Arabidopsis thaliana: one gene and its partner. The protein of the gene in region 2 interacts with the protein of the main gene of each other region in a pairwise test. Each region holds a gene or a part of one and is shown on either strand. Other genes may lie near its edges.

Evidence for each region. The genes of interacting proteins can lie anywhere in the genome.
Region 1: the proteins of PUP4 (region 2) and HHP4 interact in a protein complementation assay, tested with the Arabidopsis thaliana proteins (one large-scale study listed by BioGRID).

The regions. Positions count from the first base shown.
Region 1 is NC_003075.7:17,698,156-17,703,452, reverse strand, and holds HHP4 (heptahelical protein 4), read right to left. Parts: upstream 2,820-5,297; 5' UTR 2,568-2,819; intron 2,468-2,567; exon of another isoform or gene 2,447-2,467; 5' UTR 2,238-2,446; coding exon 1,972-2,237; intron 1,880-1,971; coding exon 1,627-1,879; intron 1,539-1,626; coding exon 885-1,538; 3' UTR 501-884; downstream 1-500. Other genes in the region: NAGS2 (N-acetyl-l-glutamate synthase 2), read left to right, coding at 4,617-4,982, 5,180-5,267. UniProt on the Arabidopsis thaliana protein: May play a role in abiotic stress response.
Region 2 is NC_003070.9:10,972,041-10,977,758, reverse strand, and holds PUP4 (purine permease 4), read right to left. Parts: upstream 3,315-5,718; 5' UTR 3,179-3,314; coding exon 2,030-3,178; 3' UTR 1,962-2,029; exon of another isoform or gene 1,696-1,961; intron 1,485-1,695; 3' UTR 1,461-1,484; downstream 1-1,460.

The sequences.
Region 1 (5,297 bases), on a different chromosome or scaffold from region 2:
AGGGGGTTTACGAACATTCTCTTGGCTATTTCGAGTTGATTTCTCTTCCAAGTTGTGTCGTCTCCATTTTTGTTGTTACAGTGGCCGAGCTTTTTGTTTTCACAGCGATGGGTTTACATTGGTTTTGAAATTCAAATTGATCTCGGTTCGGTTTAATTTGGTTTAGAGAAGAAAACCAAAAAAAATACGACACGCGATGGGTTTTTGAGAATGAGGTGCGTGGATCCAAAAATGCATGATTTTTGTGGATTAACCCCTTTAGAAATCGTAGACACGCGCTCAACGCGACATGAGTGAGAGTGGCTGTGAAATAGCACGATTGGTAAAAGTGGGGTATGAAGTGGAGCTCTCTCATTGGCTAAAAATATAAAAATAGTAGGGGAGCTCCTCCTCTCATATATTGAAAACAATAACAAACACTTATAAATGTTCTGCATTTTCAGAGTAAATTTTATTGATTTCTGAATTTTTATTGATGTGCATAGATTTTGTTTCATATTTTGTGTACTTGTAGTTTATCAACACTTATGGATCATTCGAAATGTATACCAATCAGGGGAAACCTTCAAGAAGAAGATCAGAATCAAAGTATCCTCTGCCATGGAACAATTAGGCTTGTGTCAGGTTCACAAGGAGGCTATATGAGGTTGACACTGGATTATGATACTTTGAATGCTGCAATCAAGACTGGAATCATCTAAAAATATGAATCCTTCAGCTTCTTTAACCAGTAATACATATGTGGATTAACAATATAAATCCTTTGTTGAATAAAGGAAACAATTAAACGTTTGATTACATATAAGACTTTACATAATCCAACTTTTATATGAAGCTACTACAAACAAGATTCAAAGATTCCATCTAATCTTCAATCTTCATCTTCAACATCCTTCAATATCTCTCCACTTAAGATACACTAGCCCAGCTCTATAGTGCGTGAACGCACCAGCAACAACCAGAACATGAAACAACTGATGGCTATGTCCTGCTATATCGAATTTACCCGGCATCCATCTCTCTGGGATCCTAGTTGCATAAACCAGAGCTCCTAACCCATAAAGCAAACCCATCAAAATCTCATAACCTGTCGTGTGAAGGGCTTCAGGTTGGTCCCAAAAGATTATCAGCTTGTGAAGAATCGGAGCTAAGCCAGAGAATCCCATTCCAAAGAACAGAGACGCCCTCACCACCCGAAACTCCGGGCTTTGGAAAACCGGGAGGAGAGAAACAAGCACAGTGGCGATTCCTAAGATGGTTATGAATCCTAAGTAGAGGTTGCAGAAGAAAGGATCACACATGAAGGAGTAATAAACCGGAGGGTAGAAGGAAGTCGCTATTAGAGCTGCGATGCCGGCGTAATCAAGCCTAAGCATTATGTAGGAGACTCGCTCGGAGTGACATGAGAGGAGGTGGCACGTGCTGCTTGCTAATAGACAGAACATAGCACCACCTAGAAATGCATAAAACGGCCATCGAGTAATTGGCCTGAAGATCAAAGGAGCTATCAAGTTTGCAAGATCTTCCCTCACAGAATGCTGCAATGCAATTACAAAGATATGAACTTGGCCACATTTTGAAACAGTAATCTGCAGGAATAGAGAGAAAGATTGAGTCTTTTCTTACCAGAACACACATGTCAGTGTAGTTGCCATGAGAAAATCTTTCAGGCAAACAGTTATAAAGAAGGTCCATCACATGCCAACTAGATGGACTAGAAGGAAGGCGAGCCATGAGCTCAGAATGAAGTTTGTGGAGATCTGTTTTCCTCAACAAATCGGGTAAACGGTGTTGAAGCGAATGAAGATCCACGACACTCGGTACTTTCGTTGCAGTGTATATAGTGAGCGCCAAAAACAGGAAAAACCCAATCAAGTGCCTGCAAATCCCAAAGAACACACACACACAAACACACTCAAGGCTCTTGAACTTTAAACAAGGATACATCAAGAAACATGATTCAACACTTACGTCCAAACATTCAAAGTCTCATTATGAATGGTAAAGATGCTGAGAAGAATCTGTTTGATCGGCCATTCGGATCGGTAATGACCAATGATGTACTCATTGTCTCTTAAATAAGCAGGCAATGAATGAAACTCCACCAATTGATACTTGACTTTCTGCCATAACCTCTTCCCTTTCACATTATGTTTCTTGTCCATTGTTTCAGATGAAGCTTGTGGCTTTAAATGTTCCTTGATCTCTGCCTCATCACCCATTTTCTCTCTACTCATAAACAAACCAAACCCATAATATCAATCATACAGATCTAAATCTAGCTCAATCTGAATCATTCCAAGAAGTTAGGAATCAAAGTTTCAATTTTGAACGTTTATGCTAAATCTTGTTTTGTTCTGGATAATGAAAGTATCGATTTTTATATGCAGATTCAGCTCATTCATTACCTAAAGCTTCAATCCATAAATGGATTTGAGAAAATTACCTGAATTTCGAAAGACAAACCCTGTAAGATTTAAGAAATTGAGAGATAAGTAATTAAGAGAATTATGAGAATTTTTCTTCGATTTCGTGAAATTAGGAGAGAAAAGGTGAGATTTTGTTACCTGGATCTTCAATGCCGACGAGACAAAATCTTCTAAGAAAGATCTCTCTCTTTCTTAAAAGTCAATCAAAATAGATCTCAAGGTTTCGTTTTTGTCGAAAACAGAGAGTTCTTGTTTTGGTATGAAATCGAAGAAAGAAGAAAAAATAGAAGACGACGATGGAAGTGGAAGCTCTGAAGCCACAAAGCTTTATGAATTTTATATATTTTTATATATTTCAAATTGGGACCACTAGTTTTGTTTTGTTTATTAGTAGGACCCTTTTATTTTTCTTTATTTTCGTTTGGGCTAAGAATTTAATAGCTAGAGTATTTATTGTACGAGGATGGAAATACATCAAACAGAGAAAATGTTTTGTCGAAAATATTAACAAATATTTCTCCTATGAAATCAAGTCTTTCTCAAAAAAAAAAAAACTTATTTGATATGGGGAATTTAAATTAAGGGAAAATTAATTTAACATACCATATGAGAGCAAAAAATAAAAAATAAAATAATTGTGCTCCATGGATTCTTCTTATTAATGATTAAAATTTTCAATTAGGTGAAAAGGAAAAATTTATGATTGTGGCACATTTATTGCATTTAATCATCTTTCAACTAAAAATGGAGATGTCTATTTATGGTTTTGTTTATTTGGTCGGATTTCTTTTTTTTTTTTGTATAGAAAATATTGACAACGAATTGAATTTCAGTTCTAGTTTATGTTTGGATTTAATTTTAAAGCAAAAACTATCTATCGTTAAGAATTTTCCGAAATAAAGATTCACATTTCAGAAGATTTTTTTGTTTTGTTTCGAGTCGGTTTTGGTTATTTTCTTACATAAAATACACAGAATAATTCGAACCATAATATTGAATTGTTATTTTGGTTCACGTACGTTTACCGTTGGAGACTTTATAGCTCTTCGTTTATGCTTGTACGGATCAATAATCATGCATACTTAAGTATTTGGAAAGAAGAAGAAAAATAAAAGATTTTATCACAACATAAATAGTAACGTGAATTGGCATAAATGAATCGCAACAAACAGGTCGCAATCACAATGATAAAAATATCTACTGGCACTACTTCATAAGGAAGGATCTTGTAAGAATATTACTTTCGTTTTATTCGGATAAGCAGAAGATATTCGTTTTTTTTCTGGCTCGTTTTTTCACCTATTCAAGTTTTATGTCAATTTGGTTACGTACTCCAAATTGTGGCACTTGTAATTTGACACTCTTTATCAAAGTTATCACTTATCTTACTTGCCAACGAAACTAGTATCAGTATTCAGAGCCATTAATACAAATCAATCAAATCTTAGAGGAAGAACTAAAATGATGTACATAAATTGATGTTTTAGTTTTGCCAATTAGCATAAATAAATACTTTTAAGAATCTTTTCACATTTTTTCTCTAATAAAAGTGAAACATACACATTAAATCTTTTCACATTTTTTCTCTAATAAAAGTGAAACATACACATTAGAATCAGTTGTTCACCATATATAAAAAGGCTCGCCAAATTAAGATCTGGACATACTTAAAATGGGATTGGGCTGGTAAATATTCTAAAAACATTCCTTAAAAAGCCCACTCTGATAAGTCCGCGACTTCGAAACTCCGATGCAGACCGAAATTGGTTCTATAGTTTGGGAGAGAATGACCAGACCGGTTCAATCAATTTTCCTTCGATGGACCCAACCGAATAACTTCCATGTGGGGACACAACTTAAGCTTGTAACGACCAGACATTCAAAGAGTTCCGTCAAATAGTAATAGAGAAAGACTAAAGAAGAAAATATGGAAAAATAAACAATAAATAATAATAGAAAAAGACTATTGAAGAAAATATGGAAAAATAAACAATAAATAATAATAGAAAAAGACTATTGAAGAAAATATGGAAAAATAAACAATAAATAAAATACCTACTTACCGTGGGTCCCACTACGGTACTACTGCCGCCTTCTCCGACCGTAATCAGCCGTCACCTGCCGGTTTAGTTACAATAACAATTTAGTATTTATTTGAATTCTTTCTCTCATCGAAGTCTAAGGAAGATGGAGCGAGGAGCTTTAGTGGGTTCTTCTTCTACTTCTAGCTACTATGTTCCTTACCACTTTCGCCAATCAAAGTCGAATTTTTCGTCATTCAAACCAAAAAATAAGCTAAACCCTACTCAATTCCGGTTTAACTGTTCATGGTTTAAGCCGGTTAGTTCTATAACGGCGGCGAAATGCAATATGTTTGACTACGCGGTGACTGCAGCCGGCGATGTGGAGGCTGAGCATCCAGTTGACGACAAACAGTTTGTGCGTTGGTTCCGTGAAGCATGGCCTTATCTTTGGGCTCACCGTGGCTGCACATTCGTCGTTATTATCTCCGGCGAGATCATCGCCGGCTCTTCTTGTGATGCCATTTTGAAGGTACCGTCTTTCTTCACCGTATTATATACTTTGATTTATGAGAAAAAAGCACGCAAGGTGTTCGATTGTTTGCTTGCCTCAACTAAAGTTGTTACTATTCTTATTTTGCTTTGTTATATGATCTTTTCTTTGCAATGTGCTTGAGTTTTCAGTTCTCGTATTTGAGTAGAAGGTGAAGTGATTTGATATATGTGCAGGACATAGCGTTTCTTCATCATCTAGGAATAAGGTTTGTTTTAGTTCCTGGAACTCAGGAGCAAATCGACCAGCTTCTGGCTGAGAGAGGTCAGAATATTATAAGCTTTGTCACGATGT
Region 2 (5,718 bases):
AGATTGACAAATATTAGATCGACGAGTATTCATGCTTTATGCGTACCTATACGAAGAACTGCTTACTTATTATTTACAATTGAATACAAGTATATACATGCAATCTATCAATATTGTTTCATAGCATATGAATTCTGCTTCCTCGTTTTTTCTAATTTCTTTAGTACATATAGAGATATTGTAGATTCACTTATAATACACTTTGATGGTTCTTATGGACTGAATTAACCAATCTTTAAACGATTTTATCATTTTCATTTATGAGGAACTATGAGATTTATAAATTAAGGAAATTAATTACTGATATGTTAACATTGTAGCGTGGTGTTTAAAACACGTCATGGAAACATACATTACCCTACACTGGATCACAATTTCGATATAATTTGTGGTTGAATCAAAAGCAACAAAAATTTTGGATTTTGTGGGCTCTGAAATTTTTACTAGAGTTTAAAATATAAGTGAAGAGCCAGAAGCCATAAGAAAAAAGGATAATAAGAAAAACCATCTTTTTCATTTTAAAGTGCTCAAAGAAAAATACAAAAACTAAAGGAGCATTAAGGAGACAATGTTCGTAAATAACACCGAGTTAATGCCAAGCTGCATCATCACCATTAAGCGTGTCTCTTCTTTATTTCCTCACTCATTTTATTAACACTCTAATTAACTATCATGATCATCATTAATATTTGTCTAATTGGAATCTTAGAGATCGTGAGCACTTTCATTTTCTTTGTTTGGTATGTTGTTTCCCATAAACGACAACTTTTTTCCTTTTTTGTTCTTTTATATGTTATTGGCTGTAAGTGTAACAGGTATATATATTGTTATATGTTTTGTATAATAGTATATCATTTGTAAAATTCATCATACTTCAGTATAATCGTAAATTTCTTAAAGAGAGGAGATCATTCTGTCTTGGAGAATGTCATGAAGTAATTTGGAATAAGATTCTACCAGAGTGCAACTCAACTCGACGGCGCCAAGGACATGTACCAGGCTACCAGCGCCCGTCAAATTTTATATTATGATAAAAAGTCAAACACTAATAAAACACAATCTATTAAATCCTTATAAATGAAATAAATACATGCTCTCTCAAAAACTTTCATTACCAAGAACAAAAAATTGAAAAAATTATCTCCTAGAGCTTTGGCATTGCCACCAACACTAACAATGTAGTCATGTGTTGTAAAACAGAGGATTAGTTTTGTTGTTCTCTGAACTGTAAGTATAATCGAGAGTTGGATTTGAAGCAAGCTATAGGAAATTAACATGGTCAAAACATTAAACAGGTGGTATACATTTGTAAACCACATTCTGGATATTCTTAGATCAAATAATATCACATCTTTTTGTAAAAAGTGTTTCCAACAAAAAAAAAAATTCACATTTTTGTATAGGTGAAAGTTAATATTTTTTTTGTTCACTAAATAACTACACTGGACCTATTCCTTTGGGCCTACTTTTTTTTTTTTTTTGGCCTATTCTTATCAACAATAAAAATAAAAATAAAAAAACCGAAACCACTCCAAGAGTCACACCGGATAAAAAAATAAATTGTCACAGTTACTCTTATTTTCAGCATCCGATACAATCAACACTACTTATCGTCGCCTTATTCTCAATATATCGTCGGTGTTGTTGTTTGTCATCACAGGGTGTATAATTTTCGTATCAATGTCACTGGAGACTGGGAAAATAACAGACCATATATCTAATAAAACCAATCAAAAGCCCATAGATAACAGAAAAATACATACTTATCAACCGACATTGGAAAATCCACACTTAAAAAGTGTACAACATCATTAGTTGTGGCCATGATAAGAGGATAATTCATAAAAATAACCAGAAAAGGAAAAACAAAACAACCTAAAAAAACAAGAAAAACAAAAGCAAATGCATTACTAAAAAAACATAAGGTGAGAAAAAGAAAGAACACAAAAAGATACTACTACTTTTTTTTTTTTTGTTGGCTTCCTTCCTAATAATAATCATAACGGCCGTCTCAATCACACAGATATCTTCAAGCCCTATCATCCGCCGCCGCCACGTCATCTTTAACATTTCCCATTTCCACCTCCATCTCTCCGCTGTCTTCCGTCGTCTTTACGCCGGAATATTCTCCCTTCTCCTTCTCCTCCTTCTTCATCTTCATATACATCCCGTATGTGTAAGATGAGAATCCCCAAATACATAGCACCGTCGACACAATCTTCACTCCACCAAACACGTCACCGTAAGCCACCACACCTCCTATCACATTCATCGCGAGCAACGCCGTCATGCAGATACCTCCGGTGATACCTGACGTCAAGTAAACCATCCCTGACGTGGCTGCGAAAGAGAGCTGCCACGTCACCACATTTGCTAGTATCGCAAACGTCCAATAAAATGTTGGTCCTTTGGTGAAAACATGGTTCGCTTCCTTAACCATTTCCTTAAACCCGCCTTCGCAAGCCATACCGATTGTCGCGAAAACCGTCGCTGCGAATTCCATCACCAGTTGCACCTCCATGACCATCGCGTAACAATAAACGGTACGGTATAGCTTCTCCGTCACGGGGAGGTAAAGAGCGAAGAGTAAACCGGCTCCGATCGTGGATACATACCCGATGAAATACTTGGTTTTGGTTAAACCGGACGGTTTATCTTTACTCGAATCAAGAGCCAACAAAACAGAGCTTAACGTCAACAGGACAACGCAGTTGAGGTTTGAGAAAGTGATCTTCTGTTTCACTATGATCCTAGACAAAATGAGAGTGAAGACGAGTTGTGTCGAGAGGAGAAGCGATGACGTGGACACCGGAAGGTACGAGGTTCCCCATGAGAAGAGGAAGTTGTTGAAACCGAGAACAAGCCCGATCAACACGGAGAAGATGAGATGGCGGAGCGTGAAGCGCGTGAAAGGACGGCGAGTGGTGGTTTTGAGAACGTAGTGAGGGAAGTAGATTAGGATGAGGAGGAGAGGGAAGCCAGCAGATTGAACCCACGTGGAGACCCACCGGCTCGAGCCACCGTAGACGAAATAGTACTTCGCGAGAAGGCTCGAAGCGATAGAGCCGAAGAAGAGAAAAAAGTAAGTCACGATGAGGAGAGTGAGAGATCTCTTAACCGGTGGTTTAACCATGTTCTCTTCTTGTTGAGGATCTGCGTTAACTCGACCATCACTCATTTTTGTCTCTTTATGTTTTGATTTATAATCTTTTGTTTATTTCTTGTAACTGTGATTTTGCATGAAGAGAGAAAGGAGGAAGAAGAAGAAGTGTCGAAAAAGCGTTGATGGTTCAGTCTCCAACAACACAATACACACTGATCACTCATGTATATATTGTGGATTTTATCGAAATCAAAGATACTAACACATTTATTATTATATTGATAGTCAAATAAATTCATTTTCAATTAATGTGATGCACTACATTCAGTCGTTACTAACAAAATTTCTAAAAAATACAAATATTTAGTTGGGTATCCAGCATCTCATTTCATATGAATATTCTTCTAGAGAGGGAATCTTCTATACAATGATAAAAAAATTTCCCTCAATAACAATGTTTTCATTAAGAAATATGAATTTATTATCTAAAATCTGTTGATATCTCTTTACCACAAAATAAAAGCAATTAATGTTATAAGCCTTTGTATTGACAAAAGAAGAAAACAAAATTGGTAATTTTGCTCAAAATCTTATCATCATGAGTTTATATAGAAGAAACTTTCCCTTTTATATATTTAATAGATAAACAATGTTTATCCATCAAAAATATTTCTATAACAATAAAATTTTCCATAGTTTTTAACCAACACTAGTAATATTTAGTATATATTTATTCAATAATATAACTTATATGATCATTTACTTTAACCAATAAAATTAAAACACATATAATTTATAACCTATTTGATAGATGTCAAAAAAAAAATCTTTGACTAAATATTTTAGAAACTAACTATAACCTATTTGACACATGTAATTTATCAACTAATTAATTCTCATAGGTTTTGGGCCAAGAACTTAATTAAATTAATAAACATTTATTTACACATACATAGTTCTAACCAGACGAACAAAAAAAATAGCGTTCACTAACTTAAAACTAATAATCATATGAAATTAAAGATCACAAGCTCGAACCAAACCATCTAATCTAAATTTAAATTTCAGTACAATTCATTTTTTTGGGTTACAAAATATTTTTCACCATAAACTTAATGGTTTTGATAATTTTGAATTACTTCACTATTGGAAAATACATACTCTATTCTTCAAAAGTATTTTCAAAAGAAGGAAAGAGATTTACTAAATACAAAACACATTTTTCCAGTTGACCACTAAAAAAAAAAATTTAATGTGTGTAAGAAAAAAAAAAAAAATGTGTGTAACGTTAAGTCTCCACGCATAAACACACACACACATTAATGTAAATATATAGTGAATGACATAAATATTTTAATAAATTTATTTTAACCGTTACCTCTTGATTAATAATTAATAAGATTTTATTTACTACTCTATAGTGGTGTGTATTTCATGTAACTATGTTTGTAGACAGGAAGTCTAATGCTTCGACTGGTGTTTTGAACAATATAATAATACTTTTTCAGCTAAGTTGAATTTTACTTTGGGTTTGTATTAATTTTCACCTATCAAGAAAAATGAGAGGATACAAAAATTTTAGTTATAAACATAGAAAAGAAGAGTAACCAAAGGATAATATTTCTCTTGTCTTTTTCTTCTATTTCCATTGTATAATCTAATTGGTCACATTTAATTGTATCCATTTATAACAAACAATCTTATCAAAATATTTTCGCGTAGACCCCTAGTTTCAGAAATAGAGTGCAGAGATTTTGTGGCAGCGATGAATGATCTAGGAAAACTAGATGTAGACTGTTTAGTGTGTAAATACAAAAATAAAGAGAAAACTCCTTAATATAAAATGAAATAAGATGTAATAAAAGGTTCAAATCTTACGAAATAGTAAGCTGTTTAAGAGAATAAAAATAAATTAGATTTACCATATAGCTCGCCTTTTTTAGTGTTATACGTATAAAAATAGTGTTTTGAAACTGAAAAATATTTCTCAGTTTCTTAGGGATTTTTGTTATGATAGTTCATATTTTTGAGAATTTTCATGAAATAGTTGTTCTATTATTTCGAGCATAAACATGAATCTTTGGTAACAACAAGTCAACTAAATAATCTTCATGATTTCTAAAACAGACATGATAAACCTACATAACTATAAAAGCAATAACAGGAAGCTAAATAATCGGAGGTCAAAGTTGTTAAAGAGATTTTACTGTTATGATCATGTCACCTATTGATTCTTTTGTATATATTCTTTAACTATTGGATAATTACAAATCTATTTAAAATCTATAAGTTAGTTTTATTTTTTTTTATCATATATAAGTACTGTAGATATGGATATTGAAAGAAGCAAGCTGACAAATGTAATTGGTGAAAAAATGTGGGAGAGTACAAAAGGGTTTTGGAAATAGAGTTTTGATTTTCAAAAAAAAAAAAAACTTAATAACAGAAGCCCAGAACATTTTGCATTGAATGTTTTCAAATTCAATTTGAGTTTCTCTCTCTCACTTTTTCACATTAATTTCAATGTTTTTATTTAGTTTTTGTTAAATTTTTTTCATTTAAAATTAGTTAAATTTCTTATCAAATAACAATAATTTTGTTTTTTCATTTCATTA